Linked DNA regions of Canis lupus familiaris. The protein of the gene in region 1 interacts with the protein of each later gene in a pairwise test. Links are inferred from orthologs where the notes say so. Each region holds a gene or a part of one and is shown in the gene's direction. Other genes may lie near its edges. The genes, in order: BANP, TNXB, PPIF, POGZ, SP2, FOXR1 and FAM117B.

Region 1 (3,500 bases):
GAGAGGGCCCCTCTGTTTGTGGCTCCCCTCTGTGTGTTCACAGAGCTCCATTTGGCCTCTTCTCTGGGTCCTGTCTGCAGATCGTTCCTCCCCCAGCTGTGTCCTGTGCCCTTTGTTGTTCTAGCCACTCCTGAGGGCCCCATAGTGCCGCGGCCTGCTGCGCTGGGGGGCAGGAGAAGGCCTGGCTAGATGCTTGGGGGCCAGGGAGCTCTTGCCAGTGGTGAGACACAGGGTCAGGCATGCCAGGGGCTGACCCCGAGCGATTAGGAGCCAGGGCAGCTTGAGCAGGCTGCTGTGAATCGAGTCCAGAAGGTGGAGCCCCCTCCCCGTGGCACAGCCAGGATAGGAAGCATGTTTTGTCTCTGTAAGCAGGGAGGTGGCATTTCTTCCACTTTCTTTGTGCCCACCAGTGCCCGCGAAGGGATGTTGTTGAGGCGGTCTTGGAAGAGCTGCGTAGCATGTCTCCAGGCAATAAATACAGATGCTTTGGGCCTTTTTTGGAGCTGGTGACTTATGTCCTGTTTTCCTGGCAGTATCTTACAGCCCCATATCAGGACCCCTTAGGGTGGTGAAACTGTCCCTTAGGAAGTTCTTGGCTGGCTTTTTAGATCCATTTCAGTGGATTTTGTTGGTGGGAATAGTTGGGAGTGATAATGGCCATTAACAGAGTCTAGTTGCTTCTGGTAGGTCTAAGTAGGGAGTGGATTGGATCAGTGAAAAGTCTCCAGGTTCACTTTCTCTTAATCCAGTCTTTCCTTTGCATAGTCTAAAAAGTTACTCAAATGTCCACGTTTTGCAGGATCACCTCTGTGATCAGAGAGTTGCATTCTAGGCCTTGAGTCACAGTGGGTTGTGATTTTTTTTCTCTTGTGATACAAACATGATTGTAAACTTTGCAATTTCATACGGTTTCTTTCCAACCCCAGACTATTTCGTGCTGCTCAGTTGCTGTTAATCTTGGTAGGGAGAGCTGTATGGGGAGACTTGTGAGCTGCTGCTCCATGCGCAGCTTAGAGTCTCTGATAAATGAAGGTGAGAAGAACATGGCAGTGCCTCAGTGCTAGTGTCTGCTTGTTGCTCATGGCACGCTCACAACATTGGCTGGTGTTTTTGTTTCCCGCTCAGCGCGGTGCCCGGGCGACGACAGAACACCATTGTGGTGAAGGTGCCGGGTCAAGAGGACAGCCACAACGAGGACGGGGAGAGCGGGTCCGAGGCCAGCGACTCCTTTTCCAACTGTGGACAGTCAGGAAGTCAGAACATTGGCAACAACGTCACCCTCATCACCCTCAACTCAGAAGGTGCGCCCGCAAAGCTTCTTTCCTTTGCCTGAGAGGCGGTAGGTACGGCTTCCTGTCCTGTTCTGTGTGTTTGCCGCGGAGGAAAGCAAAGCGGTCAGCCTCACAGTGTTTCAACTTGATGATGGCTCACAACCAATCCATGCTTGGTAGAAACTGTACTTCAAATTTTGAATTGGGGTCTTGTCCCCAGGCTGGCAGCGTGCAGTCTGGTCTTGGTGATGTGAGGTAGCGGCTCCCAATCAGCCCGTAGTCATGCAGTCAGTAGCCACCAGGCCGACCACTGTTCCGCATCCCCTGCAAGCCCTTCTGTTTGCCCCTTTCAGCACTGTGTTCGGTAAGTTCCATGAGCTCTCTCGCACGGTATTTGTGTGACATGATTTTGCCCAGCTATAGGCTAACGTGGATGTTCTGAGCACATCTAGGGTGGGCTGGGCGAACATGTGATACTTGGTAGGTTAGGGGTGTTAGATGAATTTGTGACTTAAGATTTTTTCAACCTATGATAGGTTTCTTGGGACATAGCCCCATCCCCAGTTGAGGAAGATCTGTACATGTTTACTGTTTTTAAAAAGTGGTAGAAGAAAGTGAGAAAAACATAAAATTTCATGTCCAGAGAGCTCTGTAGAATCCTGTGGGCTTTTTCCATGTGAGCATAAACATGGTATGATTCATGGTGTGACACAGACCTCATTCATGCACGTCTAGTCAGCTTCTGGAGGCTTTCTAATGACAGGCATTGTGCTTCTATAACTAGTAGCTGGTCACTGCCTTTGACCATAGGCCTATCCACGTCTCTGTTGAAGACCAGACACAGGTGCTCAGAGGGGATTGTACAACCTTCCACGAGATGTAGAGGGAGCTGCTCTGCTGGCTGGATGTGAGCCTGGACGTGAGCCTCTTTCACCCACACCAGGGCTCCTGTCCCCCCGTCTCTCCTGCCAGGGTCTGATGTATGCTCTCGACTGGCCCTGGTCCCTGCTGCTGGCCTGATGTGCCTCTCAGAGGCTCCCTGCTGCCTGGCACCTTTGCCCTGCCTTTGTGGGCCAACCTCGGCTTCCCACATGGCTTTTCATAGCATGGGGAAGAGGGCAGATTGATGGTTTAGCGCTGTGTTACTGACTTCTAAAGCCTCTTGTTTCATTTACTAGTAAACTTGTCAGGTTTATTGGTTTTATGTCTGAGTTGTTGATTATTACCAGAAGCACAATATCGATTCCTAAAGGCAGTGATGTAGATTTACTGAGCAAAGATTTTCCTGTTAGACAGGTTACCATATCTGAAAGACTGAAGACAGTGTTTTTCTCAAAGTTTTGCTCAATTCTGACATAAATTGCTAGGATTGGGACAGCACAGCAGGAGTGAGGAGAGAATCAGGGTTTAGGGACAGCGTTTTTTAAAAACTTAGATCGAGGGCAGCCCGGGTGGCTCTGTGGTTTAGCGCCGCCTTCAGCCCAGGGGCTGATCCTGGAGACCCGGGACCGAGTCCCACGTCGGGCTCCCTGCATGGAGCCTGCTTCTCCCTCTGCCTGTGTCTCTGCCCCTCTCTCTCTCTCTCTCTTTCTCTGTTTCTCTCATGAATAAATAAATAAAATCTTAAAAAAAAAATAAAATTAAAAAATAGAAACTGAGATCGAATTTAAATACCATAAGGTTGACCATTTTAAATAAGCATCCAATTCAGTGGTTTTTAGTACATTCACATGGTTGTGCAGCCATTGCCCAGGCTAATTCCAGAACATTTCTGTCAGGAAGGAGGCCCTGCTACAGTCACTGGCCATTCTCCCTGGTATTCACCAGTCCACTCTCCATCCCCGGAATTATGTGTTGCAGGCGCTTCACACACGGGGGAGCCGTGTAGAGCACGCCATCCCTTCTGTGGCCAGGTCCTGCTCCATCATGTGGATGCACCACATTTTGTCCACCCATCTGTTCATTTGTCAGTGGACACTTGAAGTGCTTCCAGTTTTTAACTGTGATGACAATGCCTATCTAGGTAGTTTGCGAGAACATGTGTTTTTGTTCCTCTTCGTAGGCACCTGGGAGGGGAATCACTTAGTTTTTTTACACATTAAGTTTGAGGAAGAGAGGGATGCCATCAATCTCAGCTAATGGAGATTTACCATCCATAGTAGAGATGGCATCTGTAACTACGTGTTCTTCCTGTCTGTGCACGTGGATTCTGGGTAGATGCCCACATAG
Region 2 (3,500 bases), on another chromosome or scaffold:
CTGGTTCTCTTTCCAGGTGGGGCTGGGGCGCAGGCGGAGGCCCCCGGCGCCCGGGGGAGGGACGGAGGGAGGGGCGCGACGGAGGGGGCTGCCGCTGACCGGCTCTCCCCTCCCCCCTCTTTTGCCCCCGGCAGCGCCAGGCCACTACAGTTACCCGGAGGTGCGCCCCCCAGCCCCGCCCCCCCAGCCCCGTCCCCGGCCGGCTCCCGCCCCGCGGCCCCCGCGCCCCGCGCGCCCCGCTCGGCCCTCGCGGCCAGCGGAGGAGGAGGAGGGGGAGGAGGAGCCTCGGCCCGGGCCCAGCCCGCCGCAGCCCCCTCGGCGGCCGTGGGCCAACCTGCCGGGCGAGCTGGGCCGGTTCCGCGGCAGCGTGCGAGACCTGGAGCGCCACCTGAGAGCTCACGGCTACCCGCTGCGGGCCAACCAGACCTACGCGTCGGTGGCGCGCCGCGTCCACGAGTACCTGCAGCGGCGTCGGGCGGCTGCCGCCCCCCCCGGCTCCCCCGCGCCCCCGGCCCGGCGCCCCGCCCCCGCCGCGAGCCCCGCCCCCGGCGCCTGGAAGGGGGCCTCCGAGCCCGGCACCGACGGCCTCTCGCCGGAGGGCGTGGACCGCGAGGCCGCGCCGCGCCACCCCAAGCCCGAGGTGCTGGGCAGTTCCGCCGACGGCGCGCTACTCGTGTCCCTCGACGGGCTCCGCGGCCACTTCGAGCGCGTGGTGCTGCGCTGGCGGCCCCAGCCCCCCGCGGAGGGCCCCGGCGGGGAGCTGACCGTGCCGGGCACCGCGCGCGCCGTCAGCCTACCCGACCTCACGCCCGGCGCCACCTACCACGTGGAGGTCCACGGGGTGCGGGCAGGGCAGACCTCCACGTCCTACGCGTTCGTCACCACCACAGGTAGCATGCGCTGGGGCCGCGGGAGCACCCATCCCCTGCCCAGCCTCGCCCGACGCTGGAGTCCCCATCGGAGAGTTCCTCTGGCCGCCTCGCTGCTCGGACCACCACCCCACCCGCACCACACCCCGGGGCCCTCAAGCCCGGTCCAGACTCCAGGGGACCCCACAGCAGAGCATGCCCTACTGGGCGCCTAGAAGCCATCTCCACCCCAGGAGCCTCAGGGGGGATACCCAGGGCGAGACCTGGTCTTCAGGGTTCCTGGGACGCTTGCCCGGATTGCCATCCCGGGAACGGACGGGGCGGGCCTGCAGAAACTCACTGGAGCAGTGGGAGTGGGGCACCAGAGTGAAACCATCACTTCCCCACTCTGACTCACTGTGGTGAGGGTGGCCAAAGGCTCTGGTCAGTGGTTAGAGTTTTCCACGATTTGGCCTGGACCTCAAAGGGACACATCAGAACAGTGTGGGGCTGGCCTTGAAGTCATCAGGCAGCTTGTGTCTGTGAGCGGTGAACCCACTGCTTCTTGAGCTGTCTTTCCAGACCTCCTGGCTCACTTCATGCTTATCTCTTCCACAGGAATGATGCCAGGCCCAGGGAAGGGGTGCTCTCGGGCTGCCCTGGGGAGGGATGTGGACCTGTTCTTCCCCACCTAGGGCCCAGATGCCACCTGAGCTGGATGTACCCACGCACACCCTCTTTTCCCTCTCTCCTCACTACCCACTCTCCCCTTGCATCTGCCTTCCCTAACACCACATCCCCTCCTTTCTTCCAGGCTTCTCACTGCAGCACTAATGGAAGCTACGACCACCACCCCGTGGGCAGGGAGATGTGCTTGGGGAGGGACGTGGAAGTCTGTGGGGGCTAGAGGCCACAGGAGCCTTGTGAGGGGGGGATGGTCAGCTTTCTTTCTTTCATTTATTGCCTGCAGGCCTGTCTGTTCAGGAATGTGGTGGACAGGGGTGTTGGGAGGATGCAGTAGCCCAGGGAGTGGACTTGGAAGCAGAAGAGGGAGGCTCTGTGGGCTCTTAGAGGCTAGAAGGCAGAACCTGGGGGCTGGATTTCCTTTCTTGCTCTCATTCCCAACTCTCCTGTTTTTCTCACCCTGCCCTTTCCCAGGGTCCTCTCCCTCAGGCCTCTTGGGGGCCACTGATGAGCCTCTTCCCTCAGGCCCTTCAACAACGCAAGGGGCCCGGGCCCCTGAACTGCAGCAGCGCCCCCAGGAGCTAGGAGAGTTGAGGGTGCTGGGCAGAGACAAGACGGGGAAGCTCCGTGTCGCCTGGACTGCTCAGCCTGACACGTTTGCCCACTTCCAGCTGCACCTCCGGGTGCCTGAGGGGCCAGGGCCACATGAGGAGCTCCTGCCCGGGGATGTCCGCCAGGCTCTGGTGCCCTCGCCCCCTCCTGGAGTCCCCTATGAGCTGTCACTGCGTGGGGTCCCCCCGGAGGGCGAGCCCTCTGCCCCTCTCATCTACCAAGGCATTATGGGTATATCCTGAACTCTGTTCCAATCAGTGTCCTGGGGATGGGGAGGGGCTGGGCCATTGGGGCTTTAGAGGTGGCATGGGGATTGTGGGGCTGGGCTGGTGTTTGGGTTGGAGTGGTAAGAGCAAACAAGGAGAGAGGAGGTTGGAGTTGAGGGTTCAGGGGAAAGAGGAATGGAGGGAGTCTCAGAATAAGGATGAGGTGCAGGGGGGAGATGGGAAGAGAAAAGTCAGAGGGTGGGCCTGGGAGTCAAGAGAGGGGCTGTAGGCTCTGGCTTTCCACTTACAGTGTTCTTTGTCCTGTGTCCTCCCCAGTTCCTGGTCACTCACAGATCTCTGAGGGTAGGCATGGGAAGGCCTCAGCCCTGATGATACTGACCCTTAGCCCCCTCTCCCCCTTCCCTTCCCCATAGCCCCCACCACCCCCTCAGGGGGCAGCCTAGAACAGCAGCCCCCATTCTGGGAGCCTGGCCTGTAGTAGGCTGTGCTCCATGGTCCCAGCAGCCAGTTTCTGCTGGGGATGGAGGTTCTTTAGGGTAGGGAGCTCCACAGGGATCAGGGCTTCAGAGACAGGTGAGGTTTGTGGTGTCAGTGAAGCCCAGGGCCTGGACTTCCTGGCTCTCAGGTTCCCTCCTGGTCCCTCTTTATGACTAGGGTAGCATACTCCCTGCCACTCCAGGTCAGGCTCAGCACTAGAAGAGAGGGAGGAGAGGGAGAGAAAAGTGGACAGAGGAGTCTTCAGCTGCTCCAGAGTGGCAAGGAGGAGGTTCTGACTCCGGAAGAACCAGGGATGACTGGAAACTCCCCCAGTGGTCTTGATGTGGAGAGGGACTGGGACCTTTGTGAGAGGTGGGGAAACTAGCACAAGGGGAGGGCTAATGCTGTCACTCCAGAACAGAGGAGGGCTGCTCACAGAGGCTTGAGGTGGGGAAGTGGAGGCTCTGGGGGAGGGAGCTGTCAAGGAAGGAGGGACCCAGCCGGCTGAGGAGAGGGAAGGAGACCAGGGACAAAGGTAACGGTTGAGTCCACCTGCTCAACTTCCGCCCCCACGTTCCAGACAGGGATGGGCCGAAGCCTGGGAAGACTTCTGCCCCACCACGCCTGGGTGAGCTAGCAGTGACTGACCAGA
Region 3 (3,914 bases), on another chromosome or scaffold:
TGGGCAGGTGGGGGGGTAGAGTGGGGGCAGATGGATACGCCATCCTGGGTCTGCAAGGTATAGGGAGGCCACCTGGCTGGTGAGGAAGGAGATGCCGGGCAGGCAGTGGGGCTCAGCCTAGGGAACTGGCTCTCTGGCAGCTGCCGCTCCCCCCCACAGAGCAGCCTTGGGAACAGGGACCCCTGGCCACCTCCCTGTCTCCCCTCCAAGAGTTGCAGGTAGAAAATTCTAGGTCACTACCTATGAATCTTCTCAGAATGGCCATTAGATCCTTTAAGAATCATTTAAAAACTTGCCTGGATAAAAAAAAAGTGAATCGTTTGGAAGGTAGGGAAGTTATTCATGGCCAAAAATATTTAAGCTTTTATTTTTTCTTACTTTCTTTGTTTTTTAATTAGTCCGTACATCCCTGGATGTTTTTTGACCCCCTGGCGTGCAGGGCTGCCGGCTGGGTGGGCCCTGGGTGGGTTGGGGGGCTCCCTCCCAGCGCCGGGGCAGCACCCCCGCGGCCAGCTCAGGGTGGCAGCTGCTCAGGAGGTGCTCTGTGCTCGCAGGCGGGCGACTTCACCAACCACAATGGCACCGGGGGAAAGTCCATCTATGGAAGCCGCTTTCCTGATGAGAACTTCACGCTGAAGCACGTGGGGCCAGGTGAGCGAGCCTGCGGTTCCCCGGTCCGGACGCCCTGAGCTCTGGGCCGGCGTTTGCAGCCTGGTGACTGATTTCCCAGAACCTGGTGATGCCCCTTCCCTCCTTCTACCCTCCTGGTCGGGGTGTTGGTTCTCCTGGAGCTTTTTCATGCCAAAATAGAAATAAGCCTTCCTTGGAGAAACTGCTAGAGAACGCCTTTGGGCAAAAGCCAGTGTCGGTTCACATTTAAGACCCAAGGTGCAGTTCGCAGAAACGTGGAGGTCGGGGTGCACAAGTCCCTCCCATTCCAGTCTCCACCATGGATCACGGGACGGGCCCTGGGGAGCTGTCGAGCGCTGGGCCCTGCTTGTCCTCGCCAGGCTCCAGGACCTCAGACCCAGCCGTCCCTGCCGTGGCGTGAATGACTTCCCAGGCGGGAGGTGCCTCCTGGTGCAGCGTGGCTCACTCCTGCTTGTTTTTGCAGGTGTCCTGTCCATGGCAAATGCAGGCCCCAACACCAACGGCTCCCAGTTCTTCATCTGCACCGTGAAGACGGACTGGTGAGTCCCCACGCCTGACTCCAGGCCCTCTGGGAAGGAGGAGGATGCAGCTGGAAGAGGGTTGATGTGCTTCCGGGGGAAGGTGGTGTGAGACCGGACCGTGCTCTGGGACAGAGGCTCTCACCCGGGCTATGTGTCCGTCCGTATGGGAGAAAGACGAAGTGCATAAAAGGAATGAGGGAGGATTCGGGTCGTTCTTAGAACCGTGTCTTTGTTAGGTCTCTGCTGCTGCGTGTGCACATGCACACACCATGGGCTTTTACCAAATACATCTGGGACAGGCTGCAGAGCTTCTCAGGCCTCAGGGTGGCCTGTGGTGAAAGCCTGTTTGCTTGCTTTAACATGTTGTTCTGGCCTTGAGCTTGGAGCACACCTCTGGCCCACACGCCTGTGGATTTTAGGGATGTCTTCCCTGGCACATTTCCTGTTACCTCGTAAGTTCGTCTGTCCAAAGTCCCCTGTGTCCTAACCCTGAGGCACATGGGGTTGAGGGGACAATAGTTGACCAAGAGATAAGACTTATTAAAGTCCATTTCCTAGGACTCCAGGGAGACCTGAGTGGCAGATGGATACTAGCTGTCGCTGACCCCAAGCCAAGAGGGACACGGGTGTCAGGGCAGGTCGTTGCTGGCTCTGGGCTCCTTCTGTGGAACCCCTGATAGATCCTGCGGTTCTGCCCTTGGCTGGATCCAGAGTTGGCCTTGCTGGCACCAGACTAGACTGCTTTTGGGTTCTTGGAACTCTCTCAGATTGGGACTTGTGATCTTGGCTCTCACCTTGCCACGCATGACCACGAAGATGGTTCCATTTACACGCACCTCTTGTTTCTTGAGAGTAGCTTGATACCCTGTGATCTCCGTGGGCAGAACAAGAATAATTCACTTTTCATAGATGAGGTTACCAGGATCCAGGTTAAGCGGCCCAGGGCAAGGTCACACGGCATGTGAGACAGAATGTGCCCTGGAAGGGAGGGATCCCCTGGTGCGTTTTTGGGGAGTTCAGCGAAGCTTGATGCCGGAGCTTTGGGGGTGGGTCCAGATTTTCAGTGTGAGTCCCTGTCAGAGTTGCTAAATAGCTAAATTGATGAATAGTTCCATGACTGAGGGACCATGATGACGTTGGCGGACACTGCACTACTCTTATTCGTACTTGACTCCCCTCACAGGTTGGATGGCAAGCATGTTGTGTTTGGCCACGTCAAAGAGGGCATGGACGTAGTGAAGAAAATAGAATCTTTCGGTTCCCGGAGTGGGAAGACGTCCAAGAAGATCATTATCACAGACTGTGGCCAACTGAGCTAACCTGCCCCGGCCAGGGCGCAAGGGTGGTTGCAGCTGCACTGGTGTTGACTCACCTGGACGGCCGCCTTGGGCCCCAGCAAAGGTGCCCCGTCAAGTCGCCTGTGCTCGTTCTACCATCAGTGTGTCTTTGAGGAAGGCCTCTCTAGGATGTCACATCTCCACAGGGCCCAGCACACTGCCTCCCATGTCCACCCTTCCTCACACCCCATTTCAAGACCCTGGTCGTGAACACGATGTCACCGTTCCTCATCAGGCCTTCTCCGTGACCCCCCAGCCCAAGTTCACCTGTGCCTCTCATCAGGCCTTCTCTGTGACCCCCCAGCCCAAGTACACCTGTGCCTTGGATGTGGAAGCAGCGATGGCTTAGCTTTAGGGACGGGTTCCTGCCTTTTCCTCGGCCAGGGCCAGGAAAGCCAGCCGCTGTAAACAGGCCATTATAGCTGTTCAGTGGTACCTTCGAATCAGAATAATTTAATGCACGAGGTTGCCCCGAGATGAAGCTGTGACATTAACTACCCTGTGCCGTCATATGACCTCAGTTGGCGGCAGAAGCCATGGGAACCCAGAGCTTGGCCTTCGGAACATTATCGGGGCTTTTGTGAAGGGTCCTTGGCCCTGGCATTTTCTCCCGGCCTCTGTGAATCCCACTGGTTTGCTGCTGTGGTTTTTGAGGAGAGTCTGGGGGGAGGGAGGAGAGAAGCAGACAAACCTGGGAATAAACCCACTGCAAGCTGTGCCTAGTTGGTGAAGTGGTGAAAAATGGAAATGGCCCACACATGCCGGGGGCTCTGGAGGAAAGTAATTGTGTATTTTCGGAAGGGCTTTGATTTATCTGTGTTTAATGTACTGATTATGTATATAATTCACTTTTGGGACATTTGTGTTCACTTGAAATGTGAAAATAAATCCTATTTTCTATAGAAGACTGTGTGGTGTCTGGTGGTCTTAGGAAGCAGTGTTTATAACTCCAGGATTTGGAGCCAACTTTTATTTATTTATTTTTAAGATTTTATTTATTTATTCGTGAGAGACACAGAGAAAGAGAGAGAGGGACACAGGCAGAGGGAGAAGCAGGTTCCCTGCAGGGAACCTGACGGTGGGACTCGATCCAGAGTCTCCAGGATCACGCTCTGGGCTGAAGGCGGCGCTAAACCGCTGAGCCACCCGGGCTGCCCTGGAGCCAACTTTTACTGGCGTTACCACACATGGGTCCGGGGCTCTGCTGAGGGTTTTTACCCGGATGATCTCACGTAATCAGTCCAACCAAGGATGTACTGTTGTCATCCTCATAGACGAGATGGGCCCAGACAAAGGATCTTAGCACCCACAGCCTGTCAGTGAGCACTGGCTCCCCACCCCATCCCCCGAATCACAGCTCCCTGTCCTAGTGACCCCGAGTCTGTTTTGGGGGCTGGCTCACAGA
Region 4 (3,500 bases), on another chromosome or scaffold:
CCAAAAGGTAAAATCCATTCCTAGCTCATGGGCCAAACCAAAGTTGGCATCTGGCTAGATTTTGTCTATGAGCTGTGATTAGCTGACCCCTGTCCTAGAGTTAGAAGAATGGTAAAAAGAGTGGTCCTCATAGTGATCACTCATACTTGCGTATCAACCTTAATATGCCTTTCAGGGAGTGTTTAACTTGTCTTCAAAGGGCCAGTAATCTGTTTCCAGTATCGTCTCATTAGTCTTATCAGTGCTTCTTAACTTCTTTCAGTGACGTCTTCCATCCCAGTGTTTGACCTCCAGGATGGTGGACGGAAAATATGTCCTCGGTGTAATGCTCAGTTCCGTGTTACTGAAGCTTTGAGAGGTCACATGTGTGTAAGTGATAGCAGTTGTGATGGGGATCCAGCTTCAGTGGCTACTACTTGTATATCTCCTGTAGAATTAGGAGGTTGTGAAGGAGGGGCTCTAAAATGACTTAGAAGCTTCTTAAAGGGTTATGCTCTCTTTTGGCCTGTTTTAGAAGAGTTTCATACTTTGGAATGTAGAAAGATACATTTAGAGACTCTCAAGTAGATTGGAACATATGTGACCTTAATTCCTTGGTTGTGGTTGATTTTAAAACTACACAGGACAGGTTTGCTAGATAATCAGAACTCAAGTGAAGGTAACCTCTGTTTATTTTCTTTTTCCTTTTTTTTAAGATTTTATTTATTTGAGAGGGTAAGATAGGGCACGAGTAGGGTAGGGGCAGAGGGAGAGAGAGACAAGTAGACTCCTCGCTGAGTGGGGAGTCCAACATGGGGCTTGATCCTAGGACCCTGAAATCATGACCTGAGTGGAAGTCAGATGCTTAACTGACTGAGCCACCTAGGTACTCCTCAATTTATTTTCTATTTATTGTGTCATTGTGTGAATCAAGAGTCATTAACCATTTCCCATTTCTAGCCTTTTCATTTTTTATTAGTTCAGACGCAAAAGTTGGGATTTCTTCCTGCCAGGGAGTTCAGAGGCAAGTTATGCTAGTTAAGTGGTTGAAGGATCTAAGGCAGGAGGAAGAAATATAAGGTATGGGATTTGGAGTGGCATATGGCTATAAATATATATCCATAGAAAAAGCCAGAATTCTGGAAACACTATAGAAAACCAAAGGGTGAAACCTGGATGAGAATACATAGGACCAAACCATACCTGAGAGATGTTCATGAGGTTGGGGAGTTGGTACATCCCAGCCCCCAGATAACCAGAATGATCTTCCTTTATAGTACTGTTGCCCAGAAATGGTGGAATACCAGAAGAAAGGAAAGTCTCTGGATTCAGAACCCAGTATCCCATCAGCTGCAAAGCCCCCATCCCCTGAGAAAACAGTTCCTGTTGCTTCCACACCGTCTTCTACACCTATTCCTGCTCTGTCACCACCTACCAAAGTACCAGAGCCAAATGAAAATGTGGGTGATGCTGTCCAGACCAAACTCATCATGCTAGTAGATGACTTCTACTATGGACGGGATGGTGGCAAAGTGGCCCAACTCACAAACTTCCCTAAGGTTGCCACATCTTTCCGATGCCCACATTGTACCAAAAGGCTAAAAAACAACATTCGGTAAGTGTTGAAGAGCCTTAGAGGTTACCCTAGACAAGAGAAAACTAAAAATTTTTTATATGTTTTTCTATTTGGGCAGTAGTCCTGTTTATCTAGTCTAGCTAAGGATTATCATTAAATCAATAAGTAGTACTATAGAAGGAGGAAGGTATTGTGGTTAATAAGAAGAGATAACTTTGGGGGGAGTAAGGGAAAGTAGTATATCCCTTCATAGAACTCCTACTTTTAAGAAACCCTTTTCTGAGCTCAGAAAAGGACTGTCCCAAACAAGGGGGTGGGACACACAATGTATGTTCTGGGATTCTAGGGCTACTGGTTTTTTTGATTCTGTACTTTCTCCTTGTGCTGTACTACAGATTCATGAACCATATGAAGCACCATGTAGAACTCGATCAGCAGAACGGTGAGGTAGATGGTCATACTATCTGCCAACACTGTTATCGCCAGTTTTCCACGCCCTTCCAGCTCCAGTGCCACTTGGAAAATGTTCATAGTCCTTATGAATCAACGAGTAAGTTTGGGAACTTAAACTCTAGGGGTTTACTTTGCTCTTCGTTCATTGAATGGCATGGGGAGGAGCCCATCCATCATTTATATATGGGTATCAGTATAGAGGAAGCTCTTTGTACATTTTTTTTTTAAGATCTTATTTATTTATTCATGAGAGACACAGAGAGGCAGAGACACAGGCAGAGGGAGAAGCAGGCTCCCCATGGGAAGCCCGATGCAGGACTCGATCCCAGGACCTTGGGATCATGACCTGAGCCAAAGGCAAACGCTCAACCACTGAGCCACCCAGGCACCCCTCTTTGCACATTTCTGGTCAATTCTTTAGTTCACTCACCCTTTATTCTTATAAGTTAGACTTCTCTTCAAGCCTGAATTGAATTCAGGGCTAGAATTGTTAGGAACTTTGGTTCAGGACCACTGTAACGTGTTGTAATGTATATAGTGTAATATAATGGATTCCTTAACCAAGATCCATCTATATTTGGACCTCTGCTTTAGTTAGTATCCTGATAGGTTTTACATAGGACAAAAGATGACAGTATAAACATCATAAAGTACTTTACCATTAAGATAGTGCTTTCAGGGATGCCTGGGTGGCTCAGTGGTTGAGCGTCTGCCTTCGGCCCAGGGTATGATCCTGGAGTCCTGGGATCGAGTCCCACATCAGGCTCCCTGCATGGAGCCTGCTATTCTCTCTGTGTCTCTCATGAATAAATAAATAAAATCTTTAAAAAAAAAAAAAAGTGCTTTCACTGAACTGTAAACTGAGATATGGAGTGTTGCCTTGACTGTACATCTAACAGCTGAGGAAATGTAGGCTGAACACAGGCTCACAAAAATTAAATCATTTACTTCAGAGCATATAACGGTAGTGAGGTGCCATTGTGAGGATTTAAGCCTGGTCTTCCTAGAATATCTCTTGTGTTCTTCAGGGGATTTCTGGTGTTGTTTTAGAGACAAAAATTACATAAGTATAAGCCTATGCATTGTATAATACCAATGATAGGTGAAATAGTTTAAAGAAGAGAAAAGATCTTTGAGGCTAGGTTTCCCCAAAAGTCGTAAACTTTTAGAGTCTTTAAATACAAGAAGGATTTAGACAGATGAAAGTAATAAGAAAAGCTTTTTAGGTGATGGGAAGCTGCATTTTAAAAACTTTGACTAAAAATGAATTAAACAGTAAGGATATCCATTATATCATTTAAATGAGACTACTTGAGGTGGAGTAAACTTCAACCCCAAAACTTGAGTGTTCTGCTGCAATTCTCTTGTCTCTGGCTTGTAGTGAGGTGGCTGTGTTAATCTTGGGCCTTACATTCAGGCATTAAATAGTGCAGACAAGGAATAGACCTCATCTTCCCATGTCTTTTCCTGAATTTGTTTCAGGAAAGCAGAA
Region 5 (4,013 bases), on another chromosome or scaffold:
GGCCTCCAAACCATACTCTCCTGCCTGCAGTTTTTTTCCCTTCTTATTCATAAGAATATTATGAAAATTTCGGTCAGATGCCTTGTTGAAATAAAATACAGAGTGTATACCCTTTCCTTGATGTATCCATGCAAAACCTCATGAAAACAGCATGATTCAGTTTTTGCAACCCTGTGCCTTCTTCCTTAGGGTCATTGTTGTCTTCAGTAATTATAACGTGCCATTCAGTCTTGTTTCTAGGATTTTGCCAAGGATCAGTGTCTGTAATATTTCAAGATCTCCCTATACGATTTTGTCTAGAGCTGTGCTTTTGGCTTCTCACACAGTTTATTTCTCTGAAATAATAACCTTGTTTCTGTACTTCCCAAGAGCTACTTTCCAAAGGTTAAGGATGCGAGTCTCACTGCCTAGTGTCCTTTTCCTTAGTGATTTATGAACTACAAGATGGCATAGATTCTTCCCCACCCGACCCCCAAATTCTCATGATTTCCATTTTACTTTAATTCTTTAAATCTGATTTAAGTTCAGAGTAGACATTCCCTTCATTACTTCCTCAACGTTCCTTATTGTTCTTTCTTAAAGGGGGGGGGCACAATAGGGTATATTCATTGTGGGAAAATGAGAAAATCCAGAAAAACAAGAAAAATTCTTGAAGTCAAGCAAAATTCTACTGCCAGGAGATAATAATGGGTCTTAACGTTTCAGCATTTTCAAAGACATTTCCTGCTGTGTTCACATATAGAAATATGTACACATTTAACAAAAATAGAATTTACTCTGTTTTCATTCTCATTATATTTAGTCATTAGTTCTAGTCTTGGTGATGCCTTTGGGGCCATACCTGTTAGCCTATGTAAAGTCACTGAAAGTGGTTATCCACATGCTCAAGATCATTACCTGGGCTCTGGTACCTTTGTGGTGAAGGCTGAGCATAAAGCACCTTAGATCTCCTTTCTCGTGGAGCAGGTGTGTCTTTGTCAGGGATCCTAGGAGAGAAGCGACTGTCAGCCTGGCATTTGGCTATAGAAGGAGTGAGCAAGGAGCTTGGGTTAGATCTAGAGGATTAACCAGAGGTGCAGGGCTGGGATGAGGGCGGCTCTCCTGCCCACCAAATAGGGATTCCATCAACCTAGTTAGAGTTAGCAGTACCCTGTAGAGATTCCTCCATTGGATGACTGAAGCTGGTCTCAGCAAAGTCTTGTGTCTTCCTGTTGTCCCAGGCTTTATGATGCCTAGAGACAAAACCAGCTGCCCTCCCAGCCCAGGATGGACAGATTGGAGGAGAGGAGAGAAGGCCACCCACCGAACAAGATGTAGGGTTGCTAACCTTGAGTGGGGAGGCATTAGAAAAGGTTGACCTCTTGGAGAAGCAGAGAGAGGCAAAAGGAGTACCTGAGGCCAATGGGCTTGGGTTCTGTTTGGGCCTCTGGTGACTTATTCAGTCTCTTTTCTTCCAGCAGATCCACAGACCAGCATGGCTGCCACTGCCGCTGTCAGCCCCAGCGACTACCTGCAGCCCGCCGCCCCCAGCACCCAGGTGAGTGAGCAGTGGGTTTGGGTGGGGAGGCAGTGCTGCATCAGCCTGGAGGCATTCTCTGAAGCTGACATTAAACCACAGCTGAAAACTCTGTACTGGCTTCTCTGTAAACACCCTGGGACATGACCCCTGGGAAGATTCGGTGGTTCATTTTCTCTCAATGAAGAAGCCAGGGCCACTTACCTGAGGTGGCACAGTTGAGTTGGGAGAAAAGCAGGATTAAACTCCAGGTCCCTTCCACCAGACCCACTGACCATAAAAGGGAAATAGAGGCTGTGTCCCTACAGTCCAGAGGCTCTGTCCTTGTAGCCTCGAAAGAGCACCCTCCCCACTTTACCTGAGTGTTTATTCTTCCTCCCTTCCTTCCTCAGCTGAGGAATCAGGGGCCCCTCAGCCCTCGTGATGGGCCAATGGACTTCTGCCTAAAAGCTGAGGATGATTCTGTGACCCCTTGAGAAACACGGGTAGTGGGAAAGGTGTTTGTTCACCTTGTTATGGGGGCTTCTAGAGAGTTCCCCCCGAGAAAGGCACTGCCTACCCTTTCTCCCTCAGAGAAAGAGGAGATAGCAGGGAGAGGGAAGATGCTAGCACCCTGCCTACCACAGAGGTGCCAAAGAGCCTGCCAAGAGGAGGAGACCACGAAGGGTAGAGGGTGGCTGGGCAGCAGGTTCATGTCTCACTTTTCCTCCGCTCGTTCTCTCGCAGGATTCCCAGCCATCTCCTCTAGCCCTGCTTGCCGCAACATGTAGCAAAATTGGCCCTCCAGCTGTTGAAGCTGCGGTGACGCCGCCTGCTCCCCCCCAGCCCACACCACGGAAACTCGTCCCCATCAAACCTGCCCCTCTCCCTCTCAGTCCTGGCAAGAATAGCTTCGGAATCCTGTCCTCCAAAGGAAACATCCTTCAGATTCAGGGGTCACAACTGAGTGCATCCTATCCTGGGGGGCAGCTCGTGTTCGCTATTCAGAATCCCACTGTGATCAACAAAGGGACCCGATCAAATGCCAATATCCAGTACCAGGCGGTCCCTCAGATACAGGCGAGCAGTTCCCAGACCATCCAGGTACAGCCCAGTCTCACCAACCAGATCCAGATTATCCCTGGCACCAGCCAAGCCATCATCACCCCCTCACCATCCAGTCACAAGCCTGTCCCCATCAAGCCAGCCCCGGTTCAGAAGTCAAGTACAACTACCACCCCTGTGCAGAGTGGGGCCAATGTGGTGAAGCTGACGGGTGGGGGCGGCAATGTGACACTCACTCTGCCCGTCAACAACCTTGTGAACACCAGCGACTCTGGGGCCACCACTCAGCTCCTCACGGAGAGCCCCCCCACCCCTCTGTCTAAGACTAACAAGAAAGCCAGGAAGAAGAGTCTCCCTGCCTCCCAGCCCCCTGTGGCTGTGGCGGAGCAAGTGGAGACGGTGCTGATTGAGACCACCGCGGACAACATCATCCAGGCAGGAAACAACCTGCTCATTGTTCAGAGCCCTGGTGGGGGCCAGCCAGCTGTGGTCCAGCAGGTCCAGGTGGTGCCCCCCAAGGCCGAGCAGCAGCAGGTGGTACAGATCCCCCAGCAGGCTCTGCGGGTGGTGCAGGCGGCATCTGCTACCCTCCCCACCGTCCCCCAGAAGCCCTCCCAGAACTTTCAGATCCAGGCGGCTGAGCCGACGCCTACTCAGGTACCACACTCACCCTCTACACCCGCCTCCCTCTCCTTCGCACTGAATGGCTGACACTCTGTTCCCCCTGGCTTGCTTTAGAAGATGATACTGAGGCAGCTGCTGATTTGACCTGAGTGCTAGGAGTCAGCATCATCTGGGGTCAGTAGTAAGTGGCCATTTCTGCTGACATGTGGGCTCTCTTTGGTTCAGGTGGTTATGTACTGCTCATCCTTAGAAATCGGATAAGACATCCCTATATACCTATATTGTCCACTTTTTCTTTTTGGAGAGTTTTTTGGAGGGTGGTTAGAGGACAGATACGTATTTTTTAATAATAAAGTTTATTTTTTACTATAGAATCACATACAGCAGCAAGAATGAAATCTCAGAACCATAGAATTTGATGTAAAGTAAGAAAATTAATAAGAAAATTTTGGTCATTGTTAATGGCAAGAAAAAAAGTAGGAAGACACAGCCCAGCTTGATGGCAGGAACACTTAGGCTAGATCCATCTGGGATGTTAATAATTCAATAAGAATGTTATTTGGGGCTTATATTAAGGTGCCATACTACTCTGGAATCTATTTGACTCTGTGAGGTGGTTTTATTCTTCGTGTATGCCTAGTAAATGCCAGAGATTATGCCCATGTTGCAGATGGAGAGCCTGGAACTCAGAGGAGTTAAGTTTCCAAGAGCTCATGGGGCACAGGTGACAAGAGGCAGGATTCAACCCAAATTTCTGACTTTAAACCCCATGCTCTTTTCTGCTTTTCACCTTGACTTGCTACGTCTTGGTATGGCAGGTGCTACCATT
Region 6 (4,009 bases), about 51 Mb from region 1:
GAAGTTAACATCACTTGAATAATAAGAAACACTGGCATCGCATGCCTCTTGATGTGAGTGACTGAGAAGGAAGCAACATTTCATGTGATATTCTTGTCCAAAATGCACAAGTCTAATTAGGAGGAAACATCAGACAAACCCAAACTAAGGGACGTTTTACAAAATAAATGGCCTGTATTCTTCCCCAAATGTCAATGTTGTGAAAGATTTAAAAGGCTGAGAAACTGCTCAGGATGAAAGGAAGACAAAAGGAGTGCCTGGGTGGCTCAGTCAGTAAAGCGTCTGCCTTCAGCTCTGGTCAAGATCCCAGGGTCCTGGGATGGAGCCCCACATGCAGCTCGCTGTCCAGTGGGGAGTCTGCTTCTCCCTCTCCCTCTGCCCTGCCCCCCCCATGCTCACTATCTCAAATAAATAAATAAAATCTTAAAAAAAAAAAAAAGGAGGACAAAGGCTTGTAGGTGAAATGCAATGCATGAGCCTGAATCAGATCCTAGACCAGAGAGCAAATGTATACAAAGGGTGTCATTGGGACAATTAGTGAAATTTGAATAAAATCTGTATGTTAAATATAGTATTGAGTCAATGTTAAATTTTCTGATTTTGATAATGTTCTCATTTCTGGTTTTCTGGTTATGTATGCCAATATCCCTGCTTTTAGGAAATACACACGGAAGTATTTATGGGTAAAGGGGCATTAAGGTCTGCAAATTAGTCTTAGTTCAGAAAAAATAATCAGTGTCTCGTATACGGAGAGAAAAATTAAAATGTGATAAAATGTTAATACTTGGCGTCATTGGTGGATTACAGGATCCAGGGATACAGGAATTTTTATACTATTCTTGGGACTTTTCTGTAAATTTGAAATGATTAAAAGCAAAACAAAACAAAACAAAAACCCCAAACCCACCCTCCAATCCTATCTCCACCAAGTACTACGGGTGAGATCTTGGCTAAGCCGTAAAATCTATCAGAACGTCTAGAAAGTAGCTATTAATGCGACCACGGGGTCGGTCGTCAGTGGTCCAGAAACTTAGTAAACGCAGGAAGAGCTTCGTGCAAACGCCGAGCGGGAAGAGGACCTGGCGCCCTTCCCTTCGGGCCCCCCGGGCCCCCATAAAAGCGTCGAGGGCAGAGGCGCGAGGTGGCGGGAGCAGCGGGTGCAGGCCGCGGCGAGGCGTCAAACTGGAGCCGCCCCGCACCTGAGCGGGCCGCGCCGCGCCGGGCCCAGGAAGCCGCGGAGCCTCCAGCCTCTGCCCGGGACCTGCCCTCCCCGACGGTGGACCTCAGGCTCCGGCACCGCGACCTCTGGGCCAGCCTCCATGGCCAGGTCCCGGGCTTGCTGGACTGGGACATGGGCAATGAGTCCTTCCTGGCCTTCACCACGGCGCACCTGCCCCTGGCCGAGCAGAACCGTGAGCGCGGGCCGTGGGGGAGGGGCGCGGCGGGGGGGGGGGCGGGGCGCTCGGCCCCCCAGGACCCCTGGGACCCCGCGGGCCGGCCCGGAGCCGCCGGCGGCCTTGGGGTCCCACGCCCCTGGGCGGAGTGGGCGCCCCCTCCCCTGCCCCCACCGTGGGGGAGCGGAACGCGGGGCTGGGGGGGGAGAGCCCACGGGGTGGGCGCGGGTCCAGCAGCCACCTGCCACCCCGCCGCACCCCTCACTGTGTCCCAGAACCTTCTAGGCCTCGCCAAGCCCCCTTTCCCAGGCGCCTACCGCCGTTGGGCACGCCACACATTTTTGAGTCGTTGTTCTGTTTCTTAAAAAAGCTACCAGTTTTGCTGGAGCTGAAGCCCCCCTCTTAGTACACTGGCCGATACCGAAAGGCGCTCAATATTTGCTGAACGGTCGTGCTTTTTTTTTTTTTTTTTTTTAAAGGACTTTTGGCGGGGGTGGGGGGACCTGGAGGGCAGAGGGAGGTGATTACCTCGTGGTACATTATGGCCATCTGTTTGGGCAAGGTGCTTGGATTAACCATTGTCCTGGTTCAATGCACCACCCCCGCCTTCCATCACCTCCCACAGTCCCACGTATCTACCCTTAATTGGGCTTGGTTTTGTTTTGTTTTTAAATTCGTAAGAGACATAGGCAGAGGGAGAAGCAGGCTCCTCTGAGAGCCCCATGCGAGGCTCCACCGGGGACCCCGGGATCACGACCTGAGTGGAAGGCAGATGCTCTAGTGCTGAGCCACCCAGGCGTCCCCACCCTCATTGTTTTAATGTCTTTAGATAGGTGTATCTTTGAGAACTCTTTAACATTATTTTATGTTTATAGATGACCTTAATTAATGCTCCTTGTTTTTTTTTGTGTGTGTGTGTGTTTTTTTTTTTTTTTTTTTGCCTGCTTCCATTGTTTTTTAGAGCTACTCTGGTTGCTGAACAAATATCTGATTATTTCCCATAGTGCAGTGATATTCTGTCATCTGCATATACTATCTTTTGCATTTTAGTTCTCCTTTGGCTCTAACTCTCTGCCACTATAAGTAATGCTAAGAATTCCTATATCTTCATTGATTAAGAAATATTTATTGAGCACCTCCAATTTGCAGGTGATGTTCTAGACACTGGTGATCTATAACAAACAAAACAGACAAGTCTAAATATTTTATTTCTTTTTTCATGAGAGACACAGAGAGACAGAGGCAGAGGGAGAAGCAGGCTCCATGCAGGAGCCTAATGCGGTACTCAATCTCTGAACCCCAGGATCATGACCTGAGCCAAAGGCAGATGTTCAACTGCTGAGCTACCCAGACGCCCCTGGCTGCAGTTTTGTGTTTTTTTTTTTTAAGATTTTATTTATTTATTCATGACAGAGGCAGAGACACAAGCAGAGGGAGAAGCAGGCTCCATGCAGGGAGCCCGACCTGGGACTCCATCCCAGGTCTCCAGGATCACACCCCATGCAGAAGGCGGCGCTAAACGGCTGAGCCACCGGGCTGCCCCCCCCCCCTTTTTTTTTTTTTGGCTGCAGTTTTAAATAGGGTCATCAGGTTGGGTTTCCTTGGGAACATAATATTGGAGCAGAGTTGAGGAGGTGAGACAATGAGTCAAAAGGATATTTAGAGGAAAAGTTTCTCAGGCAGAAGAAATAGGGTAAAACTCCTAAGGAGGGAATATACCTAGAGTGTTTGAGGCACAGGAAGGAGGCCAGTGAAGCTGGGTCAAACTTAAATACAGAAGGAAGTTCAGAGGGTGTGGAGCAGAGATCCAGAAGAGCCTATGTTCCACTCTAAGAACCTTCGAGTTGATATTTTTTTTTCCTTCGAGTTCATTTTGAGTAAGAGGTGACATGGTTGAAAGGTTTTGAGCAAAGAAGTGATGTGATTCATGCTTCCCAAGTGTGTGACCCATGTAAAGGGGGCAAAGGGGGCTGGTACTTGGCTTGATGCTCTATCACTGTCTTGAGATTTTTAATTTTTGAGCAAGGAACCCTTCGTTTTCATTTGGCACTGGGCCCTGCAAATTATGTAACTGATGTTGCGTGATCTATATTCTAAAAAGATAGCTGTGGCTGTTGGGTGGAGGGTATATTATAAATTTGGAGATAAGAAGCCAGCAGCCTAGGCTGCTACTGTGATCCAGACAAGAGATGGTGGTAGGCTGGAGGGTCAGAGTGGTGGCAGAGACGGGAGAACCATCTGGATTCGCTGATGGATATGTAGTGTAAGAAAGTGAGACTGGAATCACTCCTCCAGGGACACCTGGGTGGCTCAGCAGTTGGACGTCTGCCTTCATTCAGCCCAGGGCATGATCCTGGAGTTCTGGGATCGAGTCCCACACTGGGCTCCTGCTTCTCCCTCTGCCTACGCCTCTGCCTCCCTGTGTGTGTCTCATGAAAAAATAAATAAAATCTTAAAAAAAAAAAATTCCTCCTCCAAAGTTTTGGCTGATTAAGTAAAAAAAATGGAGTGGCCTGATACTGAAACAGGAGAAGCTTCTGGTAGGACAGATTTAGGGAGGAAGATCAGGAATTCTGTTCAGGACATGCTGAGTTTGGCATACTTTTTAGATCTCC
Region 7 (3,944 bases), on another chromosome or scaffold:
GGACATCTAAAGAACTAGTAAAAAGAGGTCATGGGCCAGCAAGCAATTCGTAGCCTGAAAAGTCAGTATGTGGTGTCTGGGTCTACCTCTCCTTGTTGTTGGTCTTGATGAGGAGCTCCTGAGATTAAGACCTACCGTTACTGCCGGTCTTCTTAAGTTCTTGCCCATACTACAAAGACTTGTTTCCTTCATTAGACAAAACTAGTCATGGCTAGTCCAGTTCTGTCCCAAATAACGATGCCGAACATCAAATAAATCCCTTTGCGGACTACGGCACTTTCCGAACCTGTAGCACACATCTTTCCAAGGTATCGAGCAACGGTGAAGTTGCTGACTGGAATAAAATTCTCGATTCCTTGCGATGTAGGAAGGTGGCGACAGCATTTGGTTTAACTGGACTTCCTGGACACAATCTGAAAAAAAAAAAAAAAAAAAAAAACCAACAACAAAAAAACCCTCACATCCTAACCAGCAAAATTTTAATCTCCCTGAGGTTTAGCTCGAGGAGATTTAAACAAACAAAAAGAAGCCGAGGTGTAAAATGCCCATAAAAGATCAGTTAAATTTCCCCTCCGAGCTCGGTCCAAACGTTGACGGAATTAGGACAGAACAAAAAGAGATGCGCTTACACGTCCTCGGCGCGGAGATACTGAGGTAAGGAGAGGAGTTCTGAGGGCGAGACTTCGGACGTCCTTGGGGACCGCTCCCGTCCGGGACCTTCTCTTTGGCAACACTCCAGAGTCCGAGGCCCCAGGGCTCCCCCCTGCGGGAAGGGGAAGACTCGCGTGGCCAGGGCGCGCACGCGTACATTCACGTGTACACACACACACGCCCGCGCGCGCGCACACTCTACACACACGCACGGCCTGTTCCCTCCGCTCCCCCTTCCCCGGGGGGCGGGGCCTCTTTCTCTTTAAAGAGCAGACGGCCTCGGCGCAAACCCAGGCTCTCTAAGGCCCCGGGGGCCCGGACCCGAGCCGCGGGCAGCCAATGAGCGCGGCGGAGCGGCTCGAGCGCGGCTGACGCGGCACCAATGGGCGCCCGCGGGGGGCGGGGACAGCGGAGGAGACACTATTGTTGATGAGGAGGAGCGGCGGCGGCGGCGGCTGCACCACCACCACCTCGTTGCTGCCGGCCGCGGCCCGGGCGCCCCCTGCTCCCCGGATTCCGGCTTCGTCACCCCGTCGCGGGGACCTTCCCTCCGGCCTCGAGAAGCCGAACCCTGCAGCCCAACAACAACAAGCCCCCCCCGTCTCGCCCCGTCACCAGGGAGGGGGGGACCATGTCCCAGCGGGTGAGGCGCAATGGGTCCCCCACGCCGGCCGGCTCCCTCGGGGGCGGTGCGGTCGCCACGGCCGGGGGAGCCGGGAGCCGCCTGCAACCCATGAGGGCGACGGTTCCGTTCCAGCTGAAGCAGCAGCAGCAACATGGCAGCCCCACGCGGAGCAACGGCGGCGGCGGCGGCAACAACGGCGGCTGCTGTGGTGGCGCCTCAGGCCCCTCAGGCGGCGGCGGCGGCGGCGGCGGCGGGGGCGGCGGGGGCCCGCGCACCGCCTCGCGCAGCACGAGCCCCACGCGCGGCGGCGGGAGTGCGGCCGCGCGCACCAGCCCCACAGTGGCCACGCAGACGGGCGCGTCCGCGACGTCCACGCGAGGCACCAGCCCCACGCGCGGCGCCGCGCCCGGGGCTCGCGGGAGCCCCCCGCGGCCACAGCCCCCGCCGCCGCTGCTGGGCACCGTGTCGTCGCCTTGCTCGTCGCCCACCCACCTGTGGACTGGCGAGGTGAGCGCGGCCCCACCCCCAGCCCGCGTCCGGCACCGGAGACGGTCCCCGGAGCAGAACCGTAGCTCCCCGGAGAGGAGGAGCCCAAGCGCCCCGGTTTGCAAAGCAGGTACGTGCTGGGGACCGCGCGGCGAGGGGAAGGCGGCGGGAAGGGGTCCTGGGCGCGCGCGGCTTTCGCGCGGGGACTGCGGCGCTACCGCGGAGCGGGGCGGCCGGGGGGCGGGGCCGGGGCGGGGCCGGGGGCGGGGCGGGCCCGCCCTCCACACACCTCGCTCCGTGGGCGTCTTATTCATGGCTCTACCGACCTTGCTCCGGTCCCGCATCGGGCAGGTGCAGCCGCTAACCTGGTGGCTGTGCCGAGACGTGTTAATGATGAACCTGGGATTCTGGTCACACGCTGGTTCCTGCTTACCCTGCCTTGGGAGTGAGGCTAGGCGTGGTTTGTCACTTGGGTAATGTTAGTATAGCACATGTCTGCTGCTAAGTATTTCTTTTTCTCAAAACAGTTTCAGATTGTAAAGACTGAATTCATTAGCATAGCAGATTTGGATTCCTGTAGAGACGTGAGGCTGGGAGCCTTTAGCATTTCCTAAGACTTGGTAAAAGTGGGTAGCAGGAAAGAAGTAAGTTACAGAAGATTCCTTTAGAAGGGTTATGGGCTTCCTCCTAGAGTCCGGATGTATTTCTGATATACAGATGTTGTTTAGATGTAAAACCATTGATTTGTTTTATTAAAAAACGAATCTAACATTTATCCCTTTGTTATTATTTTAGGGATCCCTCAAAAAACCCTGTTGTTTTTCTATGTATTTGGGAGCTTTCTTGGAAAAGGTTCTGAATGAAGCTGTTGGGTTCCACTGGAGTCATTCATAAAGAGTAACTCAGAAAGAAATTCACATTGTGAAAGTGGAGAGATAAGATTTGTCATCGAATTGCCTTCGTATTAGAATATAGTGAGAAAAAGAAATAGGTGGTTTTTAGCTTATGCAGTTATACTACCTTTATTCTTCCCTAGAGAATTTCTTTAGACTCGGGCAGAATTACTGGAAATTTCAGGAGACCTAACACAGTACATCTCAACCAAATAAGAGATTAAGTAGTTTTAAGGGTCCCTTCAGAAATGCAGGGAATGGGATGAATCTTTCTTACTATTTTATCAAAGATTTTAGACAATGGATACGTTTGGAGAGATCGCTCTGAAAAATGATCAATAGTGTTTTCTAATTAGAAAAAGAATACTGTTTTAAACCTTTTGAAAATGCAGGGTTTTTTTTTTTTTTTGACTTTTACATTGTTAAAAGTACTAGAATCCTCCTCTCCTTCAAGTAAATAGTTGTCACTTTACTAAATTCCTACCGTGTGGTTGGTGATTTACCTACAAGATCTCATTTTAACTCTCATGATAGGTTTTGGAGAGGTTAAGTAACAAGTGGTAAAGTCGAATTTGAATTCTGCTGGATGGTACTCCAAAACCGTGTCTTTTATATCAAGGAGGTAGCCTCATGATGTATAAGAGAGAATCTGGATATATATGATGCAGCAAAATTACACATGCTTAGGTTTTGAAGCAAGTCTTAGATGTATTGGTGAACAGAATTACTTCAATTTGCCCTCTATCTTCTGGAGCTGGCACAGTGTGGAAAGTGGAAGCAGAGCAGCAACCTGAGGAGAGTCTGGTTAAATTAAGTATTGGTAAAAAGTGGAAGAAGATGTTCTTCTGCTTTTTAGGACCCTGTTTTGCAGGATGTGCCCACTGTTCATATGTCCCAAAGCTGCCATGTCTCAGATCTGCCTTCCAGTCATAAAAGTAACCCTTCTCAAAAGCTTCCCACCATCTCCCCACCAATACCAGAACAAAACAACCAAAACCCCCCCCAGAAAATAAAAACTTTTTCCTCCGGTGCAGCACTCTCAACTAGATGTTGAAAGGAATAATGTTCATCATTAAGTCATACTGAAGTGAATGTCCGATAGCTTCCTTCTTGGAATGTCTGGTTTCATTCTAGTGAACTTTCATGCAGAGTAGGACTTTCAGATTTCAGATTTCACGTCTTTATAACACAAACACAAACACAAAATTTGCTGTTTTCTTCAGACTAAATCTGGAGGGAGAGAAAGGGAAAAAGAATCTCTTTAATCATTGAGACTCCCTTTTTGCTTT

Evidence for each region.
Region 2: the proteins of BANP (region 1) and TNXB interact in binary tests that used the Homo sapiens proteins (3 or more experiments, as listed by UniProt). The two-hybrid records come from large-scale screens. The link is inferred for Canis lupus familiaris from reciprocal best matches to the Homo sapiens genes BANP and TNXB.
Region 3: the proteins of BANP (region 1) and PPIF interact in binary tests that used the Homo sapiens proteins (3 or more experiments, as listed by UniProt). The two-hybrid records come from large-scale screens. The link is inferred for Canis lupus familiaris from reciprocal best matches to the Homo sapiens genes BANP and PPIF.
Region 4: the proteins of BANP (region 1) and POGZ interact in binary tests that used the Homo sapiens proteins (3 or more experiments, as listed by UniProt). The two-hybrid records come from large-scale screens. The link is inferred for Canis lupus familiaris from reciprocal best matches to the Homo sapiens genes BANP and POGZ.
Region 5: the proteins of BANP (region 1) and SP2 interact in binary tests that used the Homo sapiens proteins (3 or more experiments, as listed by UniProt). The two-hybrid records come from large-scale screens. The link is inferred for Canis lupus familiaris from reciprocal best matches to the Homo sapiens genes BANP and SP2.
Region 6: the proteins of BANP (region 1) and FOXR1 interact in binary tests that used the Homo sapiens proteins (3 or more experiments, as listed by UniProt). The two-hybrid records come from large-scale screens. The link is inferred for Canis lupus familiaris from reciprocal best matches to the Homo sapiens genes BANP and FOXR1.
Region 7: the proteins of BANP (region 1) and FAM117B interact in binary tests that used the Homo sapiens proteins (3 or more experiments, as listed by UniProt). The two-hybrid records come from large-scale screens. The link is inferred for Canis lupus familiaris from reciprocal best matches to the Homo sapiens genes BANP and FAM117B.

Annotation. Positions count from the first base shown.
Region 1 is NC_049226.1:65,688,824-65,692,323, reverse strand, and holds part of BANP (protein BANP), read left to right. Parts: intron 1-1,125; coding exon 1,126-1,301; intron 1,302-3,500. UniProt on the Homo sapiens protein: Controls V(D)J recombination during T-cell development by repressing T-cell receptor (TCR) beta enhancer function. Binds to scaffold/matrix attachment region beta (S/MARbeta), an ATC-rich DNA sequence located upstream of the TCR beta enhancer.
Region 2 is NC_049233.1:1,623,182-1,626,681, reverse strand, and holds part of TNXB (tenascin-X), read left to right. Parts: intron 1-257; coding exon 258-470; intron 471-638; coding exon 639-890; intron 891-2,006; coding exon of another isoform or gene 2,007-2,057; coding exon 2,058-2,375; intron 2,376-3,428; coding exon 3,429-3,500. UniProt on the Homo sapiens protein: Appears to mediate interactions between cells and the extracellular matrix. Substrate-adhesion molecule that appears to inhibit cell migration. Accelerates collagen fibril formation. May play a role in supporting the growth of epithelial tumors.
Region 3 is NC_049225.1:29,804,525-29,808,438, forward strand, and holds the end of PPIF (peptidyl-prolyl cis-trans isomerase F, mitochondrial), read left to right. Parts: intron 1-554; coding exon 555-651; intron 652-1,114; coding exon 1,115-1,190; intron 1,191-2,355; coding exon 2,356-2,491; 3' UTR 2,492-3,414; downstream 3,415-3,914. UniProt on the Homo sapiens protein: PPIase that catalyzes the cis-trans isomerization of proline imidic peptide bonds in oligopeptides and may therefore assist protein folding. Involved in regulation of the mitochondrial permeability transition pore (mPTP).
Region 4 is NC_049238.1:61,136,156-61,139,655, reverse strand, and holds part of POGZ (pogo transposable element with ZNF domain), read left to right. Parts: intron 1-262; coding exon 263-369; intron 370-1,256; coding exon 1,257-1,594; intron 1,595-1,950; coding exon 1,951-2,105; intron 2,106-3,500. UniProt on the Homo sapiens protein: Plays a role in mitotic cell cycle progression and is involved in kinetochore assembly and mitotic sister chromatid cohesion.
Region 5 is NC_049230.1:24,184,602-24,188,614, forward strand, and holds the start of SP2 (transcription factor Sp2), read left to right. Parts: upstream 1-1,213; 5' UTR 1,214-1,225; coding exon 1,226-1,313; intron 1,314-1,457; coding exon of another isoform or gene 1,458-1,460; coding exon 1,461-1,537; intron 1,538-2,242; coding exon 2,243-3,217; intron 3,218-4,013. UniProt on the Homo sapiens protein: Binds to GC box promoters elements and selectively activates mRNA synthesis from genes that contain functional recognition sites.
Region 6 is NC_049226.1:14,884,004-14,888,012, reverse strand, and holds the start of FOXR1 (forkhead box protein R1), read left to right. Parts: upstream 1-1,209; 5' UTR 1,210-1,351; coding exon 1,352-1,412; intron 1,413-4,009. UniProt on the Homo sapiens protein: Transcription factor which acts as both an activator and a repressor.
Region 7 is NC_049258.1:11,440,774-11,444,717, forward strand, and holds the start of FAM117B (protein FAM117B), read left to right. Parts: upstream 1-1,144; 5' UTR 1,145-1,282; coding exon 1,283-1,892; intron 1,893-3,944.